4 linked regions of the Sus scrofa genome follow. The protein of the gene in region 1 binds, or shares a complex with, the protein of each later gene. Links are inferred from orthologs where the notes say so. Each region holds a gene or a part of one and is shown in the gene's direction. Other genes may lie near its edges. The genes, in order: TAF1A, TAF1B, ZNRD1 and TAF1D.

Evidence for each region.
Region 2: TAF1A (region 1) and TAF1B share a complex: the UniProt entries of both Homo sapiens proteins name them as parts of the transcription factor SL1/TIF-IB complex. The link is inferred for Sus scrofa from reciprocal best matches to the Homo sapiens genes TAF1A and TAF1B.
Region 3: TAF1A (region 1) and ZNRD1 share a complex: the UniProt entries of both Homo sapiens proteins name them as parts of the pol I pre-initiation complex. The link is inferred for Sus scrofa from reciprocal best matches to the Homo sapiens genes TAF1A and POLR1H.
Region 4: TAF1A (region 1) and TAF1D share a complex: the UniProt entries of both Homo sapiens proteins name them as parts of the transcription factor SL1/TIF-IB complex. The link is inferred for Sus scrofa from reciprocal best matches to the Homo sapiens genes TAF1A and TAF1D.

The regions. Positions count from the first base shown.
Region 1 is NC_010452.4:11,351,163-11,358,128, reverse strand, and holds part of TAF1A (TATA box-binding protein-associated factor RNA polymerase I subunit A), read left to right. Parts: intron 1-1,360; coding exon 1,361-1,474; intron 1,475-2,183; coding exon 2,184-2,382; intron 2,383-5,404; coding exon 5,405-5,535; intron 5,536-5,542; exon of another isoform or gene 5,543-6,966. UniProt on the Homo sapiens protein: Component of the transcription factor SL1/TIF-IB complex, which is involved in the assembly of the PIC (pre-initiation complex) during RNA polymerase I-dependent transcription.
Region 2 is NC_010445.4:126,529,308-126,536,273, reverse strand, and holds part of TAF1B (TATA box-binding protein-associated factor RNA polymerase I subunit B), read left to right. Parts: intron 1-1,351; coding exon 1,352-1,422; intron 1,423-1,958; coding exon 1,959-2,181; intron 2,182-6,966. UniProt on the Homo sapiens protein: Component of RNA polymerase I core factor complex that acts as a GTF2B/TFIIB-like factor and plays a key role in multiple steps during transcription initiation such as pre-initiation complex (PIC) assembly and postpolymerase recruitment events in polymerase I (Pol I) transcription.
Region 3 is NC_010449.5:22,623,247-22,630,870, forward strand, and holds the start of ZNRD1 (DNA-directed RNA polymerase I subunit RPA12), read left to right. Parts: upstream 1-3,624; 5' UTR 3,625-3,757; intron 3,758-3,870; 5' UTR 3,871-3,890; coding exon 3,891-4,026; intron 4,027-4,250; coding exon 4,251-4,351; intron 4,352-4,688; coding exon 4,689-4,798; intron 4,799-7,624. UniProt on the Homo sapiens protein: Core component of RNA polymerase I (Pol I), a DNA-dependent RNA polymerase which synthesizes ribosomal RNA precursors using the four ribonucleoside triphosphates as substrates. Can mediate Pol I proofreading of the nascent RNA transcript.
Region 4 is NC_010451.4:26,162,879-26,170,611, reverse strand, and holds the start of TAF1D (TATA box-binding protein-associated factor RNA polymerase I subunit D), read left to right. Parts: upstream 1-3,329; 5' UTR 3,330-3,480; intron 3,481-5,237; 5' UTR 5,238-5,338; coding exon 5,339-5,397; intron 5,398-6,661; coding exon 6,662-7,061; intron 7,062-7,733. Other genes in the region: C9H11orf54 (ester hydrolase C11orf54 homolog), read right to left, coding at 47-101. UniProt on the Homo sapiens protein: Component of the transcription factor SL1/TIF-IB complex, which is involved in the assembly of the PIC (preinitiation complex) during RNA polymerase I-dependent transcription.

The DNA.
Region 1 (6,966 bases):
GCACTGAAGACAGTGGTGCCGATTGCTGTCTGATGTGATAATAGCATCGCCTAACACCTTGCTTGCATAGTCACTGCACCTGTAGTACAAAGGTGTTTTTGGAGTTGAGGTTTTCAGGTTCCCAAGACAGGGGCTGTTTAGCGTGAGCTACTGTAGCTCTGTCACATAGAAATGGATGGAGGTTGTCAGCAAACTGAACCATAGCAGTTGAAGAAAGCTGCAGGAACCTTTTTGTCAGCTGAGTGTGCTATATGGCTGATAACAGGTTTCCACTCTGTATGCACAGGAGGGTACAGTGTACACAGGAGGGTAAGGCTGGCAAAGTACAATGAACTTGGAACATCTTAAATGCATTTCCTGGCAAATTTTCACACATTAGGCTGCTTTTTAAAACAAGTGTTTCGGGAGTTCCTGTCATGGCTCAGTGGTTAACAAATCCAACTAAGAACCATGAGGTTGCGGGTTCAGTCCCTGGCCTTGCTCAGTGGGTTAAGGATCCGGTGTTGCTGTGAGCTATGGTGTAGGTTGCAGACACAGCTCAGATCTTGTGTTGCTGTGGCTGTGGGGTAGGCTGGTGGCTACAGCTCCAATTCAACCCCTAGCCTGGGAACCTCCATATGCTAAGGAAGCGGCCCAAGAAATGGCAAAAAGACAAAAAAAAAAAAAAAATTTAAGTGTTTCATAGTCAATGAGTTTGTAATAGAATATTGTTTCAATGTGATCATGCATACATAGATCATTTATTTTTATTGAGGTACTTTAAATTGGGGTAAAAGAGAGATTTGCTCCCATGCAAAAGAAGAGCTCCAAATTCTCAGCCAGAGTTCTGGTCCTCTGGGCAGAAAATATTTTAATTAAAATGTGTTCAGAGCTGATGAAAGATTTTGAATTGGAGTTCCAAGTATAGACTAACTATAGTCAACAGTCGCTGACCTTGGAGGATTCTTAAGAACCATCCACTTGCTCGCATGTGGTGGATGCTAACGATGGGGCCAGAGCAGTGAGGAAGTCAATGTTAATTGAACCTGAACTTTCTGAATTTACTAGTCTTCCTCCAATACTAATTAAAAATGTTACTTTCAATATGTAGCTTAACCTCCTACCTTCTTTAGACCACTAACTTAAAAATGACACTGTTATAGTTACCTGATAATTTAATCAACACAAGATTTTTTTTTTTTTTTTGGTTAAGATATGTTGGTTTTACTGGGTGAAGTACAGTAAAACATTGACAGTAGTGGTATCTAGGGAAAGAAATCATAGTTTGTTTTTTAATGTTATAATCAGAAAAACATAGCTTTCTTAGATATTGGCGAAGGCAAGGATTTTACATTTTTGTTGGTAATTTCTGTTTTGACAGATTATTTGGAGGCTTGGAAGTGAAATTCTTTATTATCATCCTAATAGCAGTGTGGAGACGTTCAATACCTTTGCTGACCGGATGAAAAACATTGGCGTCATGAATTACTTGAAGGTGAGAAAGGAGGCTTGGTGGATTTGCACCTGCAGTGTTCACTTGCGGAAGGTGCTGGTCTGAGTGCTGAGACAGTAACAGCGTAAAAAGCATAGAAGGTTGAGACAGTTGGATCACTAGGAGAAGCTGAAACTGGAATTTTTATATTGCCCTCCCCCAGGGTGTGACGCTCCGATCAAGGATTGACTTTCCCTCTGAACCAGTGCCCTTCTCCCACAGCCCTTGTTCAGGTGTTTTCGCTGCATTTATGTAGCATGGATAAAAGAGGATGTATTGATTACCTGCTGTGGGCTAAGTGAGGTCTTAGCTTGTGAGCCGATGCCATCTCATTGAATTCCCCATAATGCCCTTTGAAAGGGTTAATAGTTATCATTCCCTATGAACATGAGACACACTAGGGGAGAGTAATTTCCTCAGGCTTATTTAGCTTTAAAGTAGTGTTTGACCAGAACTCTGTCTTCAGAGCCCTGTTCCTTTCACACTGCCTGCTGTGTGTGTTTTTATGTACTTTGGCTCACATTTACATAATCATCTTTTCATGTGTCTTTTTGCTAGATTGAAATTTTTGATAATGGGGGCAGTGTTACTCCATTGTGTGTGTCCTCTCAAGGTCTTACATAGCTCAGCGTATATCGTATGTTTACTGAGTTTTGGACCCTGGTTGTGTAATGGCTGTGAGCTGAGATGGTGGGCTTCTCAACCGTTGCAGATCTCCTTACAACATGCATTGTACCTTCTGCATCATGGCATGCTTGAGGACGCCAACAGAAATCTCAGCCAGGCAGAGACGTGGCGATACGGTGAAAAGTCATCTTCCCAGGAAGTGTTAATTAACCTTATTCAGGCCTATAAAGGGCTTTTGCAGTATTACACGTGGTCTAAAAAGAAGATGGAGCTGTCTCAGCTTGGTGAGTGCATATGAGTGAACTTTTCACTCGGTGATAGGGCTGAACCTGGGAGGGAGGCCGTCTTAAGGAGCAGTCTCTCTCCCCTGCCCCGCAGCCTGGCTTTATCCAGGGTGTGCAGAGAACAGACATTTCTGTGATCTAAAATTCTTGACCCCCCTTTATAATCTTTCTGGTATTTCAAAAAAACTATTCAGACATGAATCAGATGATTCACAGATTAAGTTCATGACCATTTTATTACTTTTTATTAAAATATAGTGGATTTACAGTGTTGTGCTCGTTTCTTTTGTACAGCAAAGTGACTTCATTATGCACGCACATGCGTTCTTTTTCTTCAGTACTCCTTCAGTCGTGCTCTGTCCCAGGACACTGGGTAGAGCGCCTCGTGCTGTCCAGCAGGACCTCGTTGTTGTTTATCCCTCCTGTGCATTTCCCAGCCCCAAACTCCCCATCCATCCCTCTCCCTCTCCCCCTCAGCAAACACCAGTCTGTTCTCTGTGTCTGTGAGTTTGTTTTCTGTCCTGTAGATAGGTTCATTTGTGCCAGATATAAGTGATACCATATGGTATTTGTCTTTCTGACTGACTTCACAGTGTAAGAATCTCTAGTTACATCCATGTGGCTGCAAATGGCATTATTTTGTCCTTTTTTATAGCTGAGTAGTATTCCACTGTGTATATGTACCACATCTTCTTAATCCATTCATCTGTTGATGGACATTTAGATTGTTTCCAAGTTTTGGCTGTTGTGAATAGTGCTGCAGTGAACATAGGGGTGCATGGATCCCTTTGAATCATTGTTTTGTCCGGGTGTGTGTGACCATGAACATGTGCTAAGAGTTAGCTTAGGATTTTTCCTTGTTGCCGTGGCTGCTGCTGGTTGGGTTTGACTACAGTTGGGTGTCTGGGAACCCCTTTCCACAGTAAATCCACACCTAACTTATACTTAGGAATCTGCCTTTTTTCCTTTCAAGATTTATTTTTTATTTTTATTATTTATTTATTTATTTATTTATTTTTCCCTCTGTACAGCATGGGGATCAAGTTACTCTTACATGTATACATTTTTCCCCCTCTTTGTTCTGTTGCAATATGAGTATCTAGACATAGGTCTCAATGCTACTCAGCAGGCTCTCCTTATAAATCTATTCTAAGTCGAATCTGATAAACCCCAAGCTCCCGATCCCTCCCACTCCCTCCCTCTCCCATCAGGCAGCCACGAGTGTATTCTCCAAGACCATGATTTTCTTTTCTGTGGAAAGGTTCCTTTGTGCCGTATATTAGATTCCAGATATAAGTGATATCATATGGTATTTGTCTTTCTTTCTGACTTACTTCACTCAGTATGAGAGTCTCTAGTTCCATCCATGTTGCTGCAAATGGCATTATGTCATCCTTTTTCGTGGCTGAGTAGTATTCCATTGTGTATATATACCACATCTTCTTAATCCAATCATCTATTGATGGACGTTTGGGTTGTTTCCATGTCCTGGCTATTGTGAATGGTGCTGCAATGAACATGCAGGTGCATGTGTCTCTTTTAAGTAGAGTTTTATCTGGATATGTGCCCAAGAGTGGGATAAGATTTATTTTTGATGTTTCATACCTACTTTCCCATTATCACTTCATTTCCATATATGTGTATGTATATATTTGTTTTGCTTTTAAATTGAAATATAGTTGATTTACAGTGTGTTAATTTCTGCTGTATAGTAAAGTGGTTCAATTATAATATATAAATATACACATTCTTTTCTATATTCTTTTCCATTATGATTTATCTCAGACTATTGAATATAGCTCCCTGTGCTCTACACTAGGACCTTGTTGTTGATCTGTTTTATATATAATCGTTGGCATTTGCTAACCCCAGACTCTCCCAACTCCTCCCCGTCGGCAGTCACAAGTCTGTTCTCTATGTTGATGAGTCTGTTTGTGTTTTGGTTCATTTGTGTCATATTGTATTTCATTTTTTTATTTTTTGCTTTTTTGGGCCACACGCACAGCATATGGAGGTTCTCAGGCTAGGGGTCGAATTGGAGCTACAAGCTGCCGGCCTACACCACAGCCACAGGCACACCAGATCTGAGGCATGCCTGTGACCTACACCATAGCTCCTGGCAATGCTGGATCCTTAACCCACTGGCCAGAGATCGAACCCATGTCCTCATGGATACTAATTAGGCTGAGCCATGACAGGAACTCCCCATTTGTGTCATATTTTAAATTCCACAAATAAGTGCTATCACACGGTGTTTGTCTTTCTTTTTCTGACTCTGATACTGTATCTTTCTTCATTCATCTTGTAGCTTGATTTCTTCCTTTCCAATTGGACATTGTTTATATTATTTTCTTGCCGAGTTGCCCTGGCTAGAACCTCCATTACAGTGGTGAATGAAAGTGGCAAAGAAAGGACGGTCTTTTGCATGAAGCCTTTCCCTGTTAATTGTGACATTCAATATGGGTTTTTTTCACAAGAAACCTTTCATCAGATTGAAAAGTTTCTTCTATTCCTACTTGTTGAGTATTTTTATCACGAAGCGTTATTACATTTTGTCAAATGCATTTTCTGCAAAAGTTGAGATGGTTGTGAGGTTTTTGTCATTATTCTATTGATTTGGAATATTGTAGTACTTGACTCGGGTGTTAAACAACCTGGAATAGGCCTCACTCGGCATGGTATAAAATCCTGTTTATTTGTTGCTAGGTTCAGTTTGCTAGTGTTTTGTTGGGTTTTTAAAAATCTATGTTTGTAAGAGATACTAGTCTTTTGTTTTCTTGTGTTGTCTTTGATGTTGGTATCAGGGTAATATTGGTCTCACAAAATAAGCTGAGAAGTGTTTTTTTCTCTTTTTTGGGTCATTGAGTTTGCGAAGAATTAGGGCTGTATTTTAAGTGTTTATTAGCATTCACCCGTGAGGCCATCAGAGTCTGAGCTTTTCTTGTGGGTCGCTTGTCAGTTACTGATTCAGCTAAAGTCCTCAGTGCTGAATGACTTTAATAGTTTGTTTCTCTCTGCACAGATAAGGAAGATTATGCTTTCAACGCGGAGTCCCAGACGCTGCTCAACCACAGCTGGAAGACGTCTGTAAACCTGTGTGCGTTGATTCAGACTCCTGGAGTTTGGGACCCGTTTGTGAAGAGTTACGTAGAGGTAAGTGGACTTTTCATAAATGTCTATAAATCTTTGTGCTTTGATTCAAATTGCTGGAGTTTGGGACGCATTTGTGAAGAGTTATGTGGAGGTAAGTGGACTTTTCATAAATGTCTATAAATCTTTGTGCTTTGATTCAAATTGCTGGAGTTCAGGACGCATTTGTGAAGAGTTACGTGGAGGTAAGTAGACTTCTCATAGTTTCACCAGTTTCATTCTGTTATAAGCTTTATCGTTATTGATTAGAAGGCAACTAATGGAGAAAATGGTTTAAAAAAAGGGAATATGATGCCACTTTTTTTTTGTCTGCATAATTTTTATTTTACCAAAGTACCTTATATTTTCTCTTACCAACATGCTGTACATGTGACGGTATTTTTTTCACCCCTGGATAGCATGTCGTGGCCAAATACAGTTGTCTCTCAGTAGCCGTGGATGCTCAGTCTTTATGTGTGCAGTGTTTGCATATAACCTATGCACATCCTCCTGTTGACTTTAAATCACCTCTAAGAGTACTTATAAAACATGTAATAAATTGTAAATGCTATGTAAATAGTTGCCTGTGTACAGCGCATTCAAATTTTGCATTTTGAAAGTTTCTGAATTTTTTTTTTTTCTGAATCTTTTCCATCTGTGGTTGGTTGAACCCTAAAATGAGGTCTGAGAGGATTCAGGGCCTGTGGCTGATGCTGACTCTGTTTATAAAGTTATTAGCCTTCTAGTTGTAAGTGTCACTTCTGTGTTCTTCTTGAGCTTCTGAGAAAAGCAGAAAGTTCTCTTATGATTTGGTGGGGTATTGCTGGGAAGGAGCTAAAACTCTGGAACTACGTCACAAATATGAGACGAAGAGTGGCTTTCAGAGGCTCTTAAGGATGTCCTGCCATCTCAGAGTCACTGTGAAAGGACAGAGCGCGCTGGCCCTGGGCGGTGGGAGTAGTTCATCAAAATAATTTGCTTTTTGGCTTTCTTGCTGCCCGGCCGTCTTGGCAGCTGCTTGTGGTTGGGGGCGTCACGCACCTAAGGCAGGAAGATGGTGGCCACAAAGAAGATGAAAAAGTTGCTGGAGTCAATCAACGCTCGGCTCCAGCTCGTGATGAAAAGTGCCAAGTACGTGCTGGGGTACAAGCAGAACTCCGAATGACCAGACAGGGCAAAACGGAACTGGCCATTCTCGCCAGCAGCTGCCCAGCCTCGAGGAAATCTGAAATCGAATGTCACGCCATGTTGGCCACAACTGGTGTCCATCACTGCAGTGGCAAGAATATCGAACTGGGCACAGCACTGGCCATCACTGATCCAGGTGATTGTGGTATCATTGGCAGCATGCCAGAACAGACTGGCGAAAAGTAAATCATGCATGAGTTTTCTTCAATGAAACCAGCTGGGCTTGCTTTTTAAAATAATAATAATAATAATTTGCTTTTTGGAATT
Region 2 (6,966 bases), on another chromosome or scaffold:
TTAAGGATCCAGCCTTGCCATGAGCCGAGGTATAGGCCGAAGCTCAGATCTGGTGTTGCTGTGGCTGTGGTGTTGGCCAATAGCTGCAGTTCCCAATCGATCCTTAGCCCGAGAACTTCCATATGCTGTGGGTGTGGCCCTAAAAAGAAAAAAAACAAGAAGAAAAACACATCCGTGCTTGTCTGAGATCAAGTTTAGCTGGGGGGTTGGGGAGGAGTTGCCTGCCAAGAACATGCAGGGGCCTTGGTGTGTGGAGCTGGTCTGTAGATGAGCCGTGGTGGTGACACACACTGTGCGTGTTTAACAAAACTGGTAGAGCCGCACACTGACGCGGGTCCGTTTTCCTACATGAACACTGTGCCTTAACTTCTCACGGTGGGGCAAGAAATATTTGGGAAGGCTGGACGAGGCAGGCGTCCCGGTGGAAATAGACTTGGTGACATCCTGGAGGAAATATGAGGACTTGATAGTGGGCCTCTGTCTTGTGTAGCTTTTGCAGTTGGGGGAAGAAGTAAAGTAAATTTTTAAGGAAGGTTCTAGAGAGAGCGTTTCTCAGACCACCCACCTTCCCCATCTTCCGGGCAGGTGACCCCAAGGAGGCGATACGGCCTCCTTGACTGTGGCATGGTTGCCACCCGTACAGGGGTTTACTATAAATCCATAAGAGAATCTGTCTGTATTAGGTATTCGTGAGGAATTTGTAACAGTGGGTTTATCTAGGGAGTGGGGTTAGAATCTTTAGGGAACGTCTGTATTTTTAGAGATTTTTTTTTTGCCTTGGGTATATTGTCACTTTTATTATTTGGTAAAATACGTAACGGAAAGGTATTTGAACGAATCACAAACGGCAAGCCCTCTGAACAGTTGGCGTGTTGTGTGGTTCGTTCAAGTCCAGCTCACTCAGGGTTTTCGGGAAGGCCCCGCCTGTTAGGTGATTGCCCCTCGGCCGCCGAGAGGTGCCCGCTCCGGGGTGCTGACAGGTCGGCAGCATCTGCAGGCCGCCGCGCGGCCAGGGCCGGGGGCAGCGGTTATGTCTCAGGCGGCTTCACTTTGAGAGGACAGCAAGGGGATTTCACGGGGAGGGACACCGCTGCTGCGGTTTTATGTAACGAATGGCTTCTTGGGGATCGTGTGGCCTCTGGGAGGCTTTGGGGCGGAGCAGGGCCTTCTGTCGGCTGCGACTGCTGCCTCCTGCGGTGCTCCTTGCTTACCTCTGGGTCGTACCCTCTGTAGAGACCTGTGTCCTGCAGGAGGTCCTTCTACCCGAGTCTCAGGAGTTTCAGGGGTCGTCGTAAGCGTGTTGGGGTCATCTCTTCTCCGCCCTGCTCCAAGTGGTTTTCTGCGTTCACAGGTATCTATGGAAAAGTGAAAGGCCACTCTACCACTCAGCCATCGACAAACCAGTGGTCTATAAAAGAAGAGGTGAGTCGGACTTCCTCCCGTCGCCGCCGAGCAGCAGCACAGTGGCGGAAAAGCTGGGTGTCTTGACCTGAAGGGAGACACAGACGTGCTTCCCCACTGCGTTAACAAGGCGCCAAAGCGCACTCCCAAGGAACGCCACCTCCGAAAGAAATTTCAGTGTCTAGTTCAGGATCAGTGTCTCACTCCAAACGGAAGTTAAGTTCCCACAAAATCTGAAATGCTGTGTGTCTGTGACTTTCAGACCCTTCATTTGGAGAACTGCTTTTGGTTGTCGTTCTCATTCTTTTTAAGACTTGTGTTAAAATATAGATGGCATAAAATTTACTGTTTGAAACCTTTCCAAGTTGACTTTCGGGGCGCCCCTCGTCCAGTTCCCGTTTCCTCTCAGTGTTACCCTCTTGCCTTTCATTTGCTGTACATTTGTCAAAACTAAGACGCCAGCTCTGGTACCTTACTGTCAGGTAATCTGCAGTCTTTATTTGTGATTTGACATTAGTTTTTATTTCATTCCTTTTCTTTTTTTCCCTTCCTTCCAGAAATGGTGGTGAGTCTACAAAAACAATTTAGCACACTGATTGATTCCACGCCCAGTGTTGAAAAAAGAAGCCCTTCAAGTTTTCAGTTCAACTGGACAGCAGAGGACAGTGATAGAACCTGTTTCCATGAACACAGCCTCCAGGGGGTCCTGAAGCAGAAAGGCCAGTCACTGACAACCAAGAATTCCCTGTACTGGCTGAGTACCCAGAAATTCTGTAGAAGGTGTGTGTGATGCTCTTAGAAATCCCGGAGTAGGAGCGCCCATCGTGGCGCAGTGGTTAACGAATCCGACTAGGAACCATGAGGTTGCGGGTTCAGTCCCTGCCCTTGCTCAATGGGTTAACGATCTGGCGTTGCCGTGAGCTGGAGTGTGAGCTGGAGTGTAGGTCGCAGACGCGGCTCAGATCCCGAGTGGCTGTAGCTGTGGTGTAGGCCGGGGGCTACAGCTCCGATTGGACCCCTAGCCTGGTAACCTCCGTATGCCGCGGGAACGGCCCAAGAAATAGCAAAAAGACCAAAAAAAAAAAAAGCACGGGATGGGGGCACCCATCTAGCTCAGTGGAAACAAATCTGACTAGCATCCATGAGGCTATGATGGGTTCAAGCCTTGGCCTCGATCAGTGGGTTAAGGATCCTGCATTACCACGAGCTGTGGTGTAGGTCACAGACGCGGCTGGGATCCAGCATTGCTGTGGCTGTGGTGTAGGCCAGCAGCTGTAGCTCCGATTCGACCCCTAGCCTGGGAACCTCCATATGCCACGGGTGTGCCCTAAAAAAAAAAAAAAAGAAAAGAAAAAGAAAGAAATGACAGGATTTAAAAAAAAAGACGAAATCTTTCGTTTGGCGTGAAGTAGTATTCTTTGCTAATTAAAAAAAATAGGCTGGATATCTTCTAAAGGAGTCAGGCTGTAATGAGAGCCAGGTAGGTTGTTTGATGGGATTAGAAGATGGTGAGCTTATAATCAAAACCATCAGAATTACACACTGAGCCTCGTTTATGAGTGTTAGGGATGGAGGTGTTAACTGCCTTTGATTGTTGTGGTACTCATTTCACAGTATAGACACTATCAAATCATCCTGTTGTGGCGTTCCCTTGCAGCTCAGCAGCTTAAAATCTGGCGTTGTCACTGCAGTGGCTCAGGTCACTGCTGTGGCGTGGGTTCAATCCCTGGCCCAGAAACTTTCCCATGCTGCAGGTGCAGCCAAAATGATTTAAAAAAAAAAATCATCCTGTTATAGCCTTAAACTTACATAGCTTGTGTGTCAATGATACGTCAGCAAAGCAGGATGAAGTTTTAGATCATAAAGACATTTCTCATTGAGACCTTAGGTCTTTACACCGACCTCCTTACACATCGACGCAGGCATCGTCCCCAGGGCAGGTCCCCACAGTCGTGCAGGGGATGCGCTGGCGAATGCAGCTGCCCGCATCCCAGCCCTGCTGGTGGTGCGCAAGCTGTGCTCCAGCTCCCCAGCTCTGCTGCCCTGATTGGGAAGCGAGGGGCGATGCTGACCTGGCTCCTCTTCTCAAAACCCCTGGCGGCTCCCGTCTCATTTCAGAGTGAAGTCGGGAGACCCCCTCTGTTCTCTGACCTCCCCTGCCCCCCTCTTCTCTTGCTCACCACCCCTGTTCACACCAGCCTCCTGGCTCTTCCTGAACTTGCCTGACACACTCCATGGCGGGTCTGGGCACATGTCATACCTTCAGCCTGGAACGCTCTTCTGCTCTGTCTCTACATGGGCTCACTTGCAGGTTTTTGCTCAGATTTCACTTCTTCAGAGAGGCCTTTCTTAACCATCATGTCTGAAATATCACCAGCCGTCACCCTCACCCACGCCCACACACCCACACACACACCTCATCACTCTCTGTCCCCCTTGCTTGTTCTTTCTTTTTCCTTATAGCTCGCGTCACGAGGGAATGTGTTGTGTGATTATGTATTTATTCCGTGTATTCATCTGCCTTCCCACAGAACAGGGCTTGGCACATAGTAGGTGCTCACTACGGTTGGTTGGTTGGTTTTTGTCTTTTTAGGGCTGTCCCCGATGCACATGGAGGTTCCCAGGCAAGGGGTCAAATCAGAGCTGCAGCTGCCGGCCTACAGCACAGCCACAGCCACACAGGATCCAAGCTGCGTCTATGACCTGCACCACAGCTCCCGGCAACACTGGTTCCTTAACTCACCGAGCAAGGCCAGGGATCAAACCTGCGTCCTTATGGGTCCTAGTTGGGTTCGTTCACCACTGAGCCCAACAGAAACTCCTAAGTGTTTGTCGAGTGAATGAATGGAAGACAGAAGCTTCCTCGTATGGTTTTAGGAGAGTTAAACGAGTTGGGTGTGTCTGTCACACAGTAAATGCGCAGTAAATGATCACCGTGATTTAACAAAATGATGTTTATTAGAATTTAACTTCCGGAGTTGAATATCAATCGAAGATGAGTACAGTGTAGAAAACACAATAGAAGACAATGAAATGAAGTCATCCGCATTACAGTTTACTGCTTAAAAAAAGTTTAGCGGAGTCTGGAGTGGTTAAGGAGTGTCCCTGTCTTAACAGCAGCAGCGAAAGGCCAGAATCCCAACCCCCGGGTCAGCTCTGCATCTGAGGGCGATACAGTCCTTCGAGGGGTCAGTGCAGTGGCTTCTTCAAGATTTACGGTTTCATCAAGTGGAAGGGAAAAGCTATGATGCTGGCTGGCGGGCTCCGTCCCCATCCCCACCGCGCCCCATAGGACCGGGAAGTTGGGACCTGAGGCGCTGTTGCTCTTCTGCCTGCAGAGCTGGTTCTGGAGGAGTTGGGGTGGGGGCGACACCTTCATGCTTTTTACATGATCCAAAGTTTAGATGTTCTTCATGGGTTTAATACTGTAATAGAAGACGGTTAGTTATAAAGAGACATTGATGGAGTCAGAGGTGAAATTGTCGAGATGTTTTTCCCTGCGTGCATTTGACGGCGGAGCACGGCACCAGCGATGCCGTAACTTTGAGCACCCAAGCTGTCCGGTTACCTTTGCCTATTTATTTTTAATCTACTTATTTTTTATTTGGGCCACACCCGCAGCATGTGGAAGTTCCTGGGCCAGGGATCGAATCTGAGCTGCAGCTGGGCCAGATTCTTAACCCACTGCACCTACGGCACAGCTGCAGCAGGGCCAGATCCTTAACCCACTGCACCAGGCTGGGGATCAAACCTGCGCCTCAGCAGCAGCCTGAGTGGCTGCAGAGCTGTTGTCGGCTCCTTAACCCATTGTGCTACAGCGGGGACCGCCACCTTGTCTATTTAGACTACAGCCTAGAACCACAGGGTGAGCAAAAAAGGGTTTAGCCAATCTTAGTAAAAAGGTCACCAAGTCCATGACTAAAACTATACGCTTTTCTCAGGATACCCCTTAGCCCCTAACTCGGAGCCCGCACACACTGCCCAGAGGGGTGTGTGTGTGTGTGTGTATGTGTGTGTGTCTGTGTGTCTGAGCTGTCTGATTTCCAGTTTCCTCTTCAAGAGGAACTGAGTAGGAGAGAGACTGAGAGCTACTCTGCTGATAAGCGTCCTGACAGCAAATGTGGTGCTACTCCTTTGACAGACAGTGTAGGGACTGGCAGAGAAGCAGACCAAAGAATTCAGATGGCCCTTCAGAGACACGGGATCACTGCCCAGAACCAAGCAAGCCTGACCGAGTCCCAGTTCGAGGGTGGAGCATGGTCCCAAATTGTGTGCACTCGTGGGGTTTGTTCTTCTTACCACTATAAAAGTGGATAACTTGTCACCATGTAATATAAGCGCTTTAAAAGAACATGTTGAATGTGCTCTAAGATAACCAAATAATGTATAACTCAGTTTTTAAAGATTTCCACCCCAAATGGTTAAAACGAAAGGTTTTGGTGCTTAAGAGAGCAGATCTTCAGCTATGTGGAGAACCTTGTCACGCTGAAGGGCTCATTTTGAGGGTTCGGAAGAGACAGACACTGTACTGCAGAGTAACTGTGAGAACCCCGAAGCCTCGAGAACTGAGGGGGAGGCTGCATGAGCCTCCAGACCCGCCGGGCGGTTGATCCTTCTTGTCTGAGGTGGAGCTAACTTTCCTAATCAATGTAAATTATCGTATATTTGATTTTATCGCTTACAACTTTAGGATAATTTTCTGAGTTTATGATAAGGAATGTATACCCTAAAAGATACTATTATTGATTCAGCTTAGAAATGAAAAGTCCTTACGTTAGCAAATGCTTTGTATACCTTTTCTTATCTTTCTCTTGTAAAAGTAGAGCTTTCCCTAGAGTCCCTACGTAAGGGAAACGTCATTTTCCCCTCCTTGGATAATACTGTCTGAAAGAATCTCTCTTAATATAGCTAAAATTTAAAATTAGATAAGAAGGGAGTTCCTGTTGTGGCTCGGTGGTTAACAAACCCGACTAGCAACCATGAGGATGTGGGTTCGAGTCCTGGCCTCACTCAGTGGGTTAAGGATCCAGTGTTGCCGTGAGCTATGGTGTAGGTCACAGACGTGGCTCGGATCCCAGTGGCTGTGGCTGTGGTGTAGGCCGGCAGCTGCAGTTCCGATTGGACCCCTAGCCTGGGAACCTTCATATGCCATGGGTGCGGCCCTAAAAAGACAAAAGACAAAAGAGAAAATAAAATAAAGTGAAATTAGAGAAGAAGAAAAGCCAAGAGGCTCTTCTTTTTTTGTGAGAATCCCTATATATTTTGTTTCCATTAAAACAATCAGCACAGAAACAATTGAGGCTTTTACATCGCCTAGCAGTAAACATAGTAGGCCATAGCTTTTTTGGCATATTATTAAAGTAGCCTTAAGATTTTAAGTGGAAATTTTAAAAAATCACCTTTAAAGGCGTGTAGGGAAAGTGAATATTTTTGAGCCCTTGCCGTGTGCCAACCATTGGGGAAGTGCTTACTATATATTCTCATTCAGTCCTCTGCCATCCTGTGAGGAGATGTCGTTGTTTTTTCCTGTTTCACAGATGAAAGAACCAGGAGTGGTTCGTTATC
Region 3 (7,624 bases), on another chromosome or scaffold:
GTTGCGGGTTTGATCCCTGGCCTTGCTCAGTGGGTTAAGGATCTGGCGTTGCCGTGAGCTGTGGTGTTGGTCGCAGATGCTGCTTGGATCCTGCAGTGGCTATGGCATATGCCAGCAGCTGCAGCTCCGATTCAGTCCCTAGCCTGGGAACCTCCATATGCAGCGAGTGTGGTCCTAAAAAGTAAAAAAACAGAACAAACAAACAAAAACAAAAAACAACTTTCTTTTGCAAGGAAAGGTTTAACTGGAAAACATTTGCCAGTGTGGACACACTGCCAAGTGTCACTTGAGCAGAAGAACTTTAAACCTAACTTTCCTTCTCCTAGTCATTTCAAACTGTATGATAAGAAAATAGTTTATTTACCAAGATTTTTTTCTCCAGAGGGGACTGTTGACCTGCAGCAATCCTAGGGTCTTTAGATACTTTAGCCCAGGCCAATCTGTAAGATATAAAAGCAAAGGTAGATTAGAATATGGAAGATGTCAGAACAAATCTGCACACATCCTGCCTGGACCAACAGATTCAATTGGTTTGGCCAAGCCCAAGGGTACTTCCCTCAGAAAGAGAAAACTTGGTAATAGGAAGACTACAGCAGGACCATTTCCCACTGGGAAACTACTGCATTCCTATAGTGAAGAATAATGAATACTCTTTTAATAAGAACCTATAGGAGTTCCCGTTGTGGCGCAGGAGAAACGAATCCAACTAGGAACCATGAGGTTGTGAGTTCGATCCCTGGCCTTGCTCAGTGGGTTAAAGGATCTGGTGTTGCTATGAGCTGTGGTGTAGTCACAGATTTGGCTCGGATCTGGCATTACTATGGCTGTGGCATAGGCTGGCAGCTGTAACTCCAATTGGACCCATAGCCTGGGAACCACCATAGGCCATGGATGCAACCCTAAAAAGTAAAAAAAAAAAAAAAAAAAAAAAAGAACCTATAAATATCAGCATATACAGTCATCCCTCAGTATCTTTGAAACCCTCAATGTCCCTTGGTTCAAGGACACCCTCCTCCCCCCCAGATATCAAAATCCATGTGTTAGTGTCATATAAGATGACATAGTATTTTCAGATACCCTGAGCACATCCTCTTGTATACCTTAAATTATCTCTCCTTTACTTGTAATACCTACTACAATGGAAAAATTTTGTAAATAGTTGCAAATACAATGTAAGTAGTAAGTACAACATAAATACTATGCAAATAGTTGCCAGTGCAGGGCAAATTCAAGTTTTGAATTTTTTTTTTTAATCTTCTTAGATTTTTTTTTTTTTAATCTTCCACCCACAGTTGGTTGAATCTGTGGATGGGGAATCCTCATATACAGAGGGCCAACTGTAATCCTTTCATATAAACTAACAGCATACTTCTCCTGTGGATTCAAGGCGAACCATTCTGAATCTTGCACCAGGGATTGGGAGAAGGAAGAGACAGGCTTCTTGGTGAAGCAATGCCCAAGCCCATCTCTGACATATTGCTCAGTCCCATAGCTTCTGTTGTCTTCTGAGATAATTCTAGGCTTTGGTATTATCAGTTCATTCTCTTTGTGCAGTTTCTGGAGCCGGGCCCTCTCTGCCTCTATCACAACATACAGCATCTCTACCCTATAATCTTTCGTTCTGATATTCTGCTATTTGATGGTGAAATTCTGTTCTTATTTGATCAACCACCAGTCTGCTTGTCTGCTTTACTCTGCCAATCATCCTTTACCCTAAATCCATTATGAGGCCATTCCCTGTTGACCTCCTTGGGATGAAAATTTGTGGTTACTCTGGGTTTATTTATAGGACAGGCTGATGGCAACACAAGTGAGGACTATCAGGTTTTGTGTGTCATCTCTGGTCTACTGTGAGGTCGTAGCTAAGCCACTGAGGATGCCTGGCATTTCATCTCTACGCCTTTATTTATACAAGTTATGGTTTAGAGCATGGGCTTTGGAGCCTGACAGGCCTATGCTTGAATTTTAATTCCCAGGTGTGTGATTCAGGGCAAGTAACAATCTCTCTCTAAACAGTTTCCTCGTTGAAAAAATGTACCTCTTGGGGTTATAAAGAATAAGTGACAATTAGATTAAAGAGCCTGGCACAATGCTTAAAATACAGTAAGGTCTCAATAAATGGCAGTTGTCTATCCTCCATAGGTCAAGCTCCAGACTATTAAGTCTGCCCAGTCTACTCTATGTATCAGTGAGGTTTTGGGTTTTTGTTTTTTGGCACCCCGCAGCATATGGAGTTCCTGGGCCGAGAACAGATCTGAGCCACAGTTGCAACCTAAGCCCCAGCTGAGGCAAAGCTGGGTCCTTAATCCATGGTGCCAGGCCAGGGATTGAACATTTGTCCCAGTGTTCCCAAGACGCTGCCCATCCCATTTTGCCATAGAGTGGAACTCCTGTATCAGTGATTTTTGCCTTCCGATGAATACAAAGTAAAAAATAGAAGTAAAAAATATAACTTCTACAATTTATTTGAAAATCAGTCATGGGAGTTCCTGTTGTGGTGCAGCAGAAACAAATCCAACTAAGAACCATGAGGTTGCGGGTTTGATCCCTGGCCTCGATTAGTGGGTTAAGGATCTGGCCTTGCCCTGAGCTGTGGTGTAGGTCACAGACATGGCTCAGATCCTATGTTGCTGTGGCTGTGCCATAGGTGGGCAGCTGTAGCTCTGATTCAACCCCTAGCCTGGGAACCTTCATATCCTGTAAGTGCAGCCCTAAAAAGCAAAAAAAAGCAAAAACAAAAAACAAAACAAAACAAACAAACAAACAAACAAACAAAAGGAAAAACAAAAGAACAAAACGAAACATAGCTCAAGCAACAGCAAAGCCAGATCGTTAACCCACTGAGCGAGGCCAGAGATCGAACCCACAACCTCATCGTTTCTAGTCGGATTTGTTTCTGCTGTGCCACAACATGAACTCAAAATACAAAAAACATTTTGATGCTGAAATTTAAACATATAAAGAGTGGGAACTATGATTTTTAATCTACAAATACCATGATCTCTCTCTTTTTTCTTTTTAAGGCTGCACCTGTGGTATATGGAAGTTCCCAAGCTAGGGTCTGAATCAAAGCTGCAACTGTGATCTACACTATAGACAAGGCAACAGCCACCAAAGCACATGAGCCATACCGGGTCCTGCAGAGAGCCCTTGCTTGGGTCGCAAGGCCCAAAGAATGCTAGAATTACTCCCAGAATATTTCGCTTTGTTTTCTACCACTGTCCAACCGCCACAGTGAAGTGCAGATTCAGGAACCGCTGGAGTTTGCAGTTCTCCAGTCCAAATAAATAAATTAGTACTCTATAAGGTTGGTCCGACTTCTCAGGAGAAACGCTCCCCGCGACTGGGTCCTGGTAAAATTCGAGACCAATAAAATAAACATCCCAGGACTGAGTCCTGAAGGGAAAAAATAACCTGAGGCAGGCGCAGCTTCGTCACCTATTTTCGTATCCAACGTAACAGAACCAGGCTGAAGGGGGCGCCACAATCTTCCTTCAGAACCGCTCCTCTCCCTCTCCAGGCTCTCGGGATCACAGTTGCAATTAATTATGACGTCACAGCCAATCGAGAGCCGGGACGCGTGGACTCTCTAGCCCGCCACGCGCTCGCTGCTCGGTTGCCCGCGCGGAGCCGGCGCTCTAGCCCGTGAAGTTGACTTGCTCCTCTCGCCTGCCCCAGGAAAGACCCCCAGCGTAGTTGTACCCGACGCGGGATAGGGATTCCGGAAGTTTGGGCTCCTTAGTCACAGAGGCACAAGGTATGCGTAGGAAGAAATCTCGGGTTCTGCATGCTTACGTCCAGGGACAGAATAGGCATGACCTCTCTGGGGAAGGGGCTACTCTCTTAATAAACTCCTCATCCCCTTCCCAGCCCTCGACCACCCGTCTGTCATGGACCTCGCCCGCACATCCTCTAGCTTTCAGTCGGACTTGGATTTCTGTCCGGATTGCGGCTCGGTCCTGCCTCTGCCCGGGACTCAGGATGCGGTCATTTGTACTCGCTGTGGCTTCTCCATCAACGTGCGGGGTGAGGTGCTGCTACGCCGCGGCTGGGGCGGAGGAGGGCCCATGGGGATCTCAAGATCGATTGGATTAAAGACGGGGACCCGAAAGCGCAGGATCAGGCACTTATACTTTTGGTCGGCACGAAACCTGATGGGTAGAATATAGCTTCCTGGCCTAACAGAGAGGGATTAGTGTGGTGTCAGCCCCCTCCGCTGTCTCCACAACCAATTCTTACTGCCCGCGCAGACTTTGAGGGGAAGGTTGTGAAGACCTCAGTTGTGTTCCAGAAAGTGGGGACAGCCATGCCTATGTCGATGGAGGAAGGACCTGAGTTCCAGGGACCCGTGGTAAGTGAATCACGTCGAGGACTGGCCCTGTAAAGAGGGTGGGAACGAAACGGAGGGCTCAGATCTGGAGAGTTTTGTACACAACAGGGAAGAAGAGTCTTTAAAACAGTAGTGACTGGGGAGAGTTTTCTTGTGGTGCAGCCGGGTGTTAAGGATCTGGCCGGCATTGTCACTACAGCGGTTTAGGTCGCTTCTGTGGCACGGGTTCGATCCTCGGCCTGGAAACTTACACGTACTGCAGGTGCAGCAAAACAAAAACCAGCAGTATCTGAGGAGTGTGGTAGCTTGATGTCTGTGAGAAGTAGTGGGAATTATTAACCTACCAGTTGCTTCCCAGGTTGACAGGCGCTGTCCTCGTTGTGGTCATGAGGGAATGGCATACCACACCAGACAGATGCGCTCAGCCGATGAAGGGCAGACTGTCTTCTACACCTGTACCAACTGCAAGTGCGTATCCTTTCCCTCCATTCTGCCCCTTCTGGGTCTCTTTGCTGCCAAAATCCCGTGATTTAATTTAAATCCAGTGGTTTAATTTTTGTACTTTTTGGACTGGTCGCATCCTTCATTTCTGTACAGTTCAAGTAATAGGTTTGTGATCGTTTTCTTCCTTCCTTCCATCCTTTCTTTCTTTCTTCCTTCCTTTCTTTCTTTCTTTCTCTCTCTCTCTCTCTTTCTTTCTTTCTTCCTTCCTTCCTTCTTTCCTTCCTTCCTTCCCTCCCTCCTTCCTTCCTTCCTTCCTTCTTAGGGCTGCACCCCGTGGCATATGGAGATTCCCAGGCTAGGGGTCACATCCGAGCTGTAGCCTCTGGCCTCACCACAGCAACAGCAACGCCAGATCACAGCAACACCGGATCCCAGCTGCGTCCACAACTTACACCGCAGCTCACAACAATGCCAGAGCCTTAACCCACTGAGTGAGGCCAGGGATTGAACCACATGGTTCCTAGTCGGATTTGCTTGTGCTGCTGTGCCACGATGGGAAGTTCTGTGGTCTTTTTAAATTTTAAATAATTACTCTTTTCCTATCTTTTTATACCCAGTGAATTAAACCTTTTACAATAGTTAAAAGGAAATGAGTATTGGTTTGTGATCAGTGTGTTATGTTGGACTCCTCCACTGCCCTCAAGGTAGTTTTACTTTGGTGAGAGTCAGTCATGGATGATTTAAAAAACATGGGTTCTTTATTTTTATTTCTTTATTTTTTTTTGTCTTTTTGCCTTTTCTAGGGCCGCTTCCCGAGGCATATGGAGGTTCTCAGGCTAGGGTCTAATCAGAGCTGCAGCCGCTGGCCGACGCCACAGCCACAGCAATGTGGGATCCGAGCCAAGACTGCAACCTACACCACAGCTCACAGCAATGCCAGATCCTTAACCCACCGAGCAGCCAGGGATCGAACCCACAACCTCATGGTTTCTAGTCGGATTCGTTAACCACTGCACCACGACGAGAACTCCCAGAACATGGGTTCTTTAAAACATAGTTTTAAGAATTCCTCTTTGTCTTTGGTGTCCTTCAATTTCACTACAATCTATCAAGATGTGGCTTTCTTTTATTTATCCTGTTTGGGATGTGTTGGGCCTTCCAACAGTGAGGGTTGACCTTTTTTCCCCCATCAACCTTGGAAAATTATCAGCTGTTATCACACTGAATATTTCCCTCATATGCTCAGTTCTCATATTCTTAGAGTTCTAACTGATTAGCTCTTTATTAGGCCTTATCTTCTATCCTCCATTTCTCTCACCCTGTCTCCCATATTTTCCATCTCTTTTCTCTTTATGCTGTTTCTGGATAGATTTTTTAGTTCTGTTTGATTTTTTTGTGGCCATGCCGGCAACATGTGGATATTCCTGGGCCAGGGATCAAACCCTAGCCCCTGCAGTGACAGTGCTGGACTTTAACCCACTGCACCACAAGGGAAATCCTGATTATTTTTCAAATCATCTTAGTTATTTTTAATAATTCCCAATTCCTTAATCATATTTTAAGTGGTTCTTTTTATTCATAAAACATATTACATGTAAACATTAAACATGATATTTATGTTCTATGTCTGTTAATTCTCAAACCCACTGTTTTTGTGGGTCTGATGCTGCCATCTGTTATTTCTGCTGACTCCCTCATGGTGCTGCTTTTGTTTTGTGCTTTTTTTACTATAAGCTCAGATTTTTAAAAGTTTGAACTATGGGAATTCTTTGAGGCTTGTGGTGAATGCTGTATATTCAGCATTTGCGTTTACTGTTTAGCTGCCTTGAGGCAGTACCAAGGCGGAATCACTAAGTTAATTCTCAGCTTTGGGAGCACCTAGGTAACATGGATTTTGGCTGCAAATCCAGTATAAAGGCCAGGTTATGGTTAGAAATTCTCAGGGGACTTTTTTTTCCTCCCTCTACCTAGTGAGACAGATTTCTCTTCAGCAGAGAAAATTTTTTTTTTTTTTCTTGCTCACTTTTATACAGAAGGGTAAGCCCTTTGGGGAGCTCAGACTTATGCAGACAGAGTATCTCCTATCAATATTGCAGGTTCATCTCTGGTTCTTCCATGTGGCTGTCAAAGCAGCAAGGGCTTGGGAGCTGGGAGGAGGATGGTTTCCTTTTTTCGTCTGTGCCAGCAGCATATGAAGTTCCTGGGCCAGGGGTTGAACCCATAGCGCAGTTGTGACCCTGGTCACAGCTTCAGCAAGAGGGGATTCTTAACCCACTGAGCCATCAGGGAACACCCAGGGCTTCAGTTTTAACTTACCTTCTAGGTTTCTGGTTTTACATCACTTCACCCAATGTGAAGATTGCCTTTACTTTCTTGACATCTCATTAATGGATTAAAATATTTATGGTTATATCTTTTGAGAGCATTTTTTCCCCAGTCTGACCTATTTATTTTCTAACTTTTTTTTAATGGTATTATTTTTTCTGCGTATTTTTTTCTTGGGCCGCTCCTGCGGCATATGGAGATTCCCAGGCTAGGGGTCCAATCGGAGCTGCAACCACCGGCCCATGCCAGAGCCACAGCAATGCGGGATCCGAGCGCGTCTGCAACCTACACCACATTTCACGGCAACGCCGGATTCCTAACCCACTGAGCAAGGCCAGGGATCAAACCGGCAACCTCATGGTTCCTAGTGGAGTCGTTAACCACTACGCCACGACGGGAACTCTCTAACTTTTTTTTAATGAGCATAAGTTTTTAATTTTTATGAGGTCTGGTTTATCTTTTTTTTTTTTTTCTTTTCTTTTATGGCGAGTGCTTTTTTGTTTTCTAAGAGATCTTGGCATCCTT
Region 4 (7,733 bases), on another chromosome or scaffold:
TTTCCTTTGAATAATTTAGAAAGCTCAGAGTTAGTATTGTATTTACCTCCAACAAGTTCCTCTAGACTTGGCACATGAAAAGAATACTCAGCACAAGCCATCTTCTTTCTTCCTTAGGTGCGAGGATATACAAAGTAAAGCAGTTGTTGGCTAATTATCACAAGAGTTCACAGTGCACCAAGCATCAACAGCTGCTGCTCTGGAAATCAAAGAATTCAGTTATATAAAGCGGGCAAAAGGGCATTTAGGTGTCTGCCTCATAGAAAGGCAACCACAGCTTCTAGTGTTTAATATTTCAAGGGAGAAATGCCTTTACCACTGAGCCACGATGGAAATGCCCTCAAAAATATTTTTGAATTGAAATAGCTATAATTGTTCAGGAATGAGCCATTTTAACTTTTTCTTTTGAAATAATTGCAGATGGACAGTAAATACATACAAATAATTCCTCTATATTCTTCATTCATATTTTCCAAATGTTAACAATTTATATTTCCTTTATCAGAAACCAGGAAGTACTAATTAAGAACATGTCAAAATCTGCTCAGTAAATACCATGTTTATTTAAAATGAGGATAATAAAAGCACTCTAGACATTTCTACTTAAAGTAGGAATAATAAAGGCTCAAGTTTAAATTAAATACAGTCCTAATTTTACACCCTTTACAAGCTTTCAAAGAATGTCAGGATTTTATTTTCTTTCCTCATCAAAATAGAAATGAATTCCAATCCTGGGAGGCTACAATCTGAATAACTGGTTTAGAAATGCAAGCTCACAACCCAGAAAGCACCCAGCCACAGAAGACAGAGATGTAGTGTGTGTATAAGTGTGTTTCTGTGTGAGTGGGAGGTAGGAGGAGGAAGTTGGAGTTGGAGTGATGAAAGAAAGGGGTTAGAAAAGTCTTAATATAAACCCAGAGTGGCTCCGGAAGGACAGCTTTGGGCCACATGGAGGCAAACAATATTTTGTAGATTCCGTAGCTGGGACTCAGTGGTCTAGAAGCAGGGTCTAGAGAAGGGAAGAAAGAAAATAGGAGGCAGTTGGAAAAACGAAGCTGCAGAGACAATGCCTATGGGGCAGACCAACAATGACAACCAAACTGAGAACTATTTATTAACTGTATTCAATAAACCAGACACTACGTTAGACACTTTACACTCTCTCAAGACCTCTCACAACAAGGTATTATCCTTCTCATTTTACAAGAGGAAATAGGCCAGAGAGAATATATTATTTACTTCAGATCACTCAGCTATTAAGTGGCAGAAACAGAATTCAAAACCACCTCTAGTCCGGTGTAAAGTCAGAACCAACACATTATGCCATATCATGAACTGATAAAGGAAAGACACATTGCAGCTCACCATGAGGGAGAATTGTACAGAAGGATCCTATAGCACTCAGTATAACTGTCATCATCTGTTTGCTTTGTTTCCTTCCCTTAGACTACGATTTCTTTGAAGATAGGACTGGATACCAGCTCAGCCTTAATTTTTTTTATTGAGCATTTACAATATTCCACACGCAGCAGGTTCTAGGACAGGGCTGGCTTCATGCATGTGCAACTCCTATAGTCACACAGGACCATGTGCTCAGAGTAGCACTTGGTTTATGCTCTGTTGTCACCATCTTTCAATTCCTAACTTTACATTTGAACCCTTTAAGATGGAAAGGACCGTGGAGTATGTGCAATGCTTCTGCAGATGACTCAAACATTCTGATGTCTGTATTTAAAGCTAGCATTGGACAATATAAAGAGTGGTAAAACTCATGCTATTGATTCAAATGTTTAATTTTTCTTTACCTAGAATGACAATAAATAGCAAATTAATGCTATTAATTAAAACACCATGACAAGTCAAAAGAGATGCTACAGAAGAAAGGGGACAGCTTGTACTTCAGTAACTTTAACGGCATTTTCCCCCAGATTTTTGAACAAGACCCTGCATTTTCTTTCTTTCTTAAAATTTTATGGAGTTCCTGTTGTGGTGCAGTGGAAATGAACCCGACTAGTATCCATGAGGACTCAGGTTTTGATCCCTGGCCTCACTCAGTGGGTTGGGGATCCAGCAGATGTGGCTTGGATCCCATGTTGCTGCAGCTGTGGTGTAGGCTGGCAGCTGTAGCTCTGATTGGATCCCTAGCTTGGGAACTTACATATGCTGCACCTGCAGCCCTAAAAAACATAAATAAAATAGAATAAAATTTTATTGGGGTATATGTGATTTACCATGTTTATTAGCTTCAGGTTTACAGCAAAGTGAATCAGTTATGCATATAAAATACATGCATTTTCATTTTGTACTGAGCTTCACAAACTGCATATGCAGGCCTGCCTAGGAATATAGCAGTGACTAAGACATGTGATACCTGTCCTGGAGCTGACAGTACTTCATAATGCCTAGAAAACCAGACTTTCTGCGCCTGGAATTTAGAACAACATTTAGAGAAAAATTGAGTAAAGAAACCTGATTACCTTCCAGGTCTGTCCTATCCCGAGATGACACTAACCACAAATTAACACGAGACAGCTTTCCTGGTTTTATTATATGATACAAGAGGTCTGAAAGTAGACAAATCAGGACAGCTCATTCCTTTTTTGTAACTACTTCGGGGGAAAAAATTGCCACCAAAACTAAACTAGTTTAACTTCTACCTTAACACTCATTTACCGCTCAGGGAACTAAGAGGGCTAAAAAGAAAAAAAAAAAAGGCCCCCGCTGGCATCTCTTGCGATGTGTTAACCACCTCCTGGGAGGCTGACCCTTAGTTCCAAAAGAAAGACTGAGTTAACAAAACAAGTCCGAAGGTGGAGAGGGAACTGAGTGCGTAACTGGATAACAATGGCTTCTAGTACAAAGGTTACACATTTCGATTCTCAGTCACAGCATGATCCTCTCACAATTTTACACAGAAGAGATTTTTGAAGGCAAAAGTAGACACACACACAAACACACACACCCGGAATCAGACTTTGGAAAGTCGGAGGACAGCTCAGCAAAGGGAGACCACTGGAGTCAAAGCAGGAGAAGTGGCTCTTCCTCGCAGTTCACATTCATTCCGTTCCCCTGCCCCCACAATTTCTTTTTCATAGTTTGCCCAAACGTTCTTGACTATTCCATTTACCTTACCGGTTCAGGACGCGTACACCAGAAGCCTGGCCTGGCCTCAGTCAAGTCCGCCTCCCCTGGGTTAAAAAGCTCAGGTCCCGCCCACTCTAAATCGCCCCGCCCCTCGCGGCAGCCAATATGGAGCGCCGCGTCTGGTTTTCTCCTATCTCTCTGTTATTTCCTGCAGTCAAATTGTTATCGCGAGACTTCGGGGCCACTATTAGCTGGGACGCGGGACTAGCCCAGCCTTTTCTTCCGCGCGTTTGTGGAGGTTGGGTGTTTTCTGGGCCTGCGCGCCCAACGCGGGTTTCTGAGGCCGGGGCTGCAACCGAGGACGCCAACGGAGACCCGTGCGCAGAGCGGGCACAGGTTGGTATAAGCCGTCCGCGGTCTGGACGGATAGGAAAGAGGACTTGGGCGCCGGGGCCTTGTGGGCGAAGGAGGGGGAGGGCCTGGCGCTTTTCACTTTTCCCGGGACGCCTGCGCGGCTCAGCGGGAGCGGAGGGCTCGCGGTGATTGTGGGCTCTGCTCTGGGCGGCAGGACTCACAGGTACAGGCTAAGCGCGTGGGCCGTTATCGGAGTTGTGGGTGTTGAAGTGCAAGTGTATTGAAGCGAGTGCACGTTTTCTCAATTAGTGGTGGTTAAGTGCGAGGTAACCGTTACCGACGCCATTTTCCTTGCACGAGGTTAGGCACTTCTGGAGACATTCGCCCCAAGGTCGCACTAAGTAAGAGTTGAAGGGATTTTGTTAAAGCTGCTAAAGAGCACTGCCTGGCTCCGTGGCCCCTTGTTGCAGAATCCCGGAACAGGAAGCGATAGGAATGCTTTCTAGTTCCCGAAAGTTTTTTTTTCTTATTTTTATCCCCACACCCGCAGCATATGGAAGTTCCCAGGCTAGAGGTTGAACCGGAGCTACAGCTGCCGGCCTACACTACAGCCATGCAGAATCCGATTTGGATCTGTGACCCAAGCAGCTTGCAGCAACGCGGGATCGTTGAGTGAGGCCAGGGATTGAACCCGCATCCTCACGGAGACAGCGTCCCGTCCTTAACCCACTGAGCCACAATAGAAACTCTTGAAAAACATTTTTGAGTTAAGCTTACTTAATTTTGATAGTGTGCTCTGTAATTATTTTAAACTTAATGTCAGGTATTCCATCATTGCCATTGGATCCAGTTTTTGTTGAATTTCTTTTTTAGGCTGTTTTCATGATTTATTTCTTAGGTTAACGCAGTTTTGAAAACTGCAATAAAACACTATGAAATTATCACACGAGTCCATGAGACATTGTGAATTTAAGATCTAGGTGATCTTATTGATTTCTTAGATTTCAAATACTGCTGCTGAAGGATTTCTTTCATCATTACTCATGTGTCATTACTAAGAATGTTAGACTAAGAACACCACAAAAAAATGAAGAATGATGACATCCTCATAAGGAAATGAAACAGAACAAAATAAGACATCTTTAATACTTTTCCCAAACTACTGTAAAATCTTCCAAGGAGATTTTTTTTTAAAGGAGACAAAGGGCACCATTTATTGTAGTCTGTACATTGAAAAGTGAGAATTCAGAACTTTGGGTTAACACCCATAGTAGCAAAGAAGTAATTTATCAAGGAAGGGGTTTCACAGTAACTTAAAATCTAGTGAGGGAAAGAGGCCATAAATGAAAATTGCAGACCTGAAGGTTAGGTTTAGGTAAGTCCAAATAATTTTTCTGGGTATACTGAGGCCAAAGGCTGCCTTTGTGGGACTTAATCTTTGTTATGCAAGAGATTTCTTGGTTCCCACCACTGTTGGCAAATGGCTTTTTGGCCATTAATTGAACATTACTATTTGTAACTACATGACTGTATGGCTAAGGGTAAAAATTACATTTTTACTGTTAGGGAAAAGAAGTTTGACACTCCTGTAGGAAATCTGGAATCTTGTTCTATAGGATGGATTAAGTAGGCACAACTGAAAGAACCCATGAATAAAATCTTTAGATGTTAGAATTAGACAGTTGTATATGAGAATATTAAAGGCCTTACATTCATTTTTGTCTTAATTTTCGTAATTGACTACATCAATATCTGCATTACTCTGATCCTAGCTGTTTTGTTGGCATTTATTTGTTCAGGGAAACTACATCACATCTACCAGATTTCATATGGTCAGAAGTCTGTTTAAAGCAAAGGACAAGTGACAATTTTGAGAGGAGCTTGAAGACTATATATCAAGATGGATTCTCACAATTGTACAACAGTTTCTGATTCAGCTTTGGAAATTGAGAATCAAAGGTAAGTGTTTTTCTAAAAAAATGTCTACATAAAAAATATGCACAACTGTGAGTTAAGTTTTATTTGGGGCAAAATGAGGATTTAAGTCTAGGAGGCAGCATCTCAAGTAACCCAGAGAGAACTCTTGCAGGGTGACAAGGGGAGGGTCCTGTAACGAAGGGCAGATAACCTCAAGTTAAGGAATTCAGCACATGTCTTTGTATGAGAAGATGCCAAGGTCTGGGTTCACTGAAATAACGTCTTTGATGTGCACCTCAGCTGTCTCTAGCCAGTATCCCCTGTTTTTCCATCCTGAGTTTCCTCAGGGCTCACTATATGGTGTGGCTGCTGGCTGGCAGGTGTTTCTTGCCTGTGTTCGCTCAGGGCTCACCAGCTCACCATCGGAGGTGGCTGAAATCACTGATGACTGACATCCTTTGCTTACTGATAGAGCAGGCAGTGTTTTTATTTCTCAGTTAACTACCACCAGGTTTTCCTGGGAACAGACTAGGTGATAATGTTTACTGTATTGGAATTGCTGTGATAGCATGCATCATTGTAGATAATGAATAGTTTGTAAGGTAATTTTTAAGAATTGGAAAAAAAGGAAAACCCAGTTTCCACAGACTTTCGCTTTAACTACTTTGGAATAGTGGGACGTGTTTGTAACCCAGGGAATCAAATCAGGAGTGTATTCTCTGGGCCAAATTGGTATTTTCCTGACTAAATCATTCTGTTGTGTAACAAGAGAATGGATATTCTGATATTTCACATTATTAAGGATGCTGGTTTATGTATGATGGAGATAACCAGTTACCTAATCCATTGATCTCACTGGGAAATCAAATCAGCATTTCTAGTATATTCACATCAGGTATCTACTAGGGCTACTCTTTTTACTTAGAGGAGACTTTGTCTTATTTAGTGGAGGCTCTAGCAGTCAACAAGGCTGCCTTTGGAACTTAGAAGATCATTTTTTGGTAAGTGCTTGGCATTATGCCACATGGCATGGGCCATTTGAGGTAGAGTGGTCAGAATTAAGTGGTTGGCTGCTACTGAGACCATTTTTTCATCTGGAGTATGTTTTCCTGCTTTGATTTGTAAAAATACTCATAATAAGCATTGGTAATATATGAGTGCAATTCCCCCCCGCCCTTTTGAGGGGGGGAGTTCCCCGGTGTTCCCTTATCTTAGCAGGTAAAGATCTGGTCCTTGGCACTGGAACTTTTGTGCATGCTGCAGGTACAACCCCAAAAAAACTTTTCCTTTTTTTTTTTTCCCCTAGTGACAGCTCTTCCTCTGGAAGCAGCTTATTTAAAACTCAGTGTGTTCCTAATCCACCTAATCCACCTAAACAGAGGCAAAGAAACCCTATTAGAAAATATATTTACTCACCTGTAAGTATTGATACAGAAGATTCATCTAGTGACTCATCTATAGAACCAAGACCATTGACTTTAAAAGCTATTTTTGAAAGATTCAAAAGAAAGAAACGTAAGAAGAAGAAGAAGAAGAAGAAATACAAGCCAACTGGAAGATCAAGGGGAAGACCAAAAGGAAGGAAAAACACTAGAGTCTCACAAATAAATAAGATAAAATTTAAAGACAAAGGGCCTGGTTTCCCATTTTTAGAAGCAGAAAATGGAAGAAAACCATTACCTTGGAGAAAAATTTTAACCTTTGAGGTGAGTTGTCATTTCATATATGCTGATAACATAGTTTAAAATGTCTGAAATGAGTTGTTTGGATAAACCTGGGACATAGAATCTGTAACTTTGATGATACTTTTCTATATTTGGCTGTACTGCCAATTAAGTTCACTTATGCTTCTGGGTGGAACCTTCACTGGTATGTTAGTTGAATATACTGAATGTGAAGTGCTTCAAGGCTGTTTTTTTGGATTTTTTTGTTTGTTTTGTTTTTGTCTTTTTGTCTTTTTAGGGCCACACCCTGGCATATGGAGGTATCCAGGCTAGGGGTTGAATTGAGCTGTAGCCACTGGCCTACGCCCCAGCCACAGCAATGCCAGATCCAAGCTGCATCTGCAGCCTACACCACAGCTCATGGCAATGCCTGATCCTTAATCTGCTGAGCTAGGCCAGGGATTGAATGCTTCCTCATGGATGCTACTCACATTTGTTTCCTCTGAGTCACGACAGGAACTCCAAGGCTGTTTTAATACCTTGATTTTTACCAGGTCTTGAAACACATCATCCATCCTATCCCTAAAACTCAAATGATACCCTACCTTTTTTTTCTTTTTAGGGCCACACCTGTAGCACATGGAATTTCCCAGGCTAGGGGTTGAATTGGAGCTGCAGCTGCTGACCTACCCCACAGCCACAGCAATGTGGGAT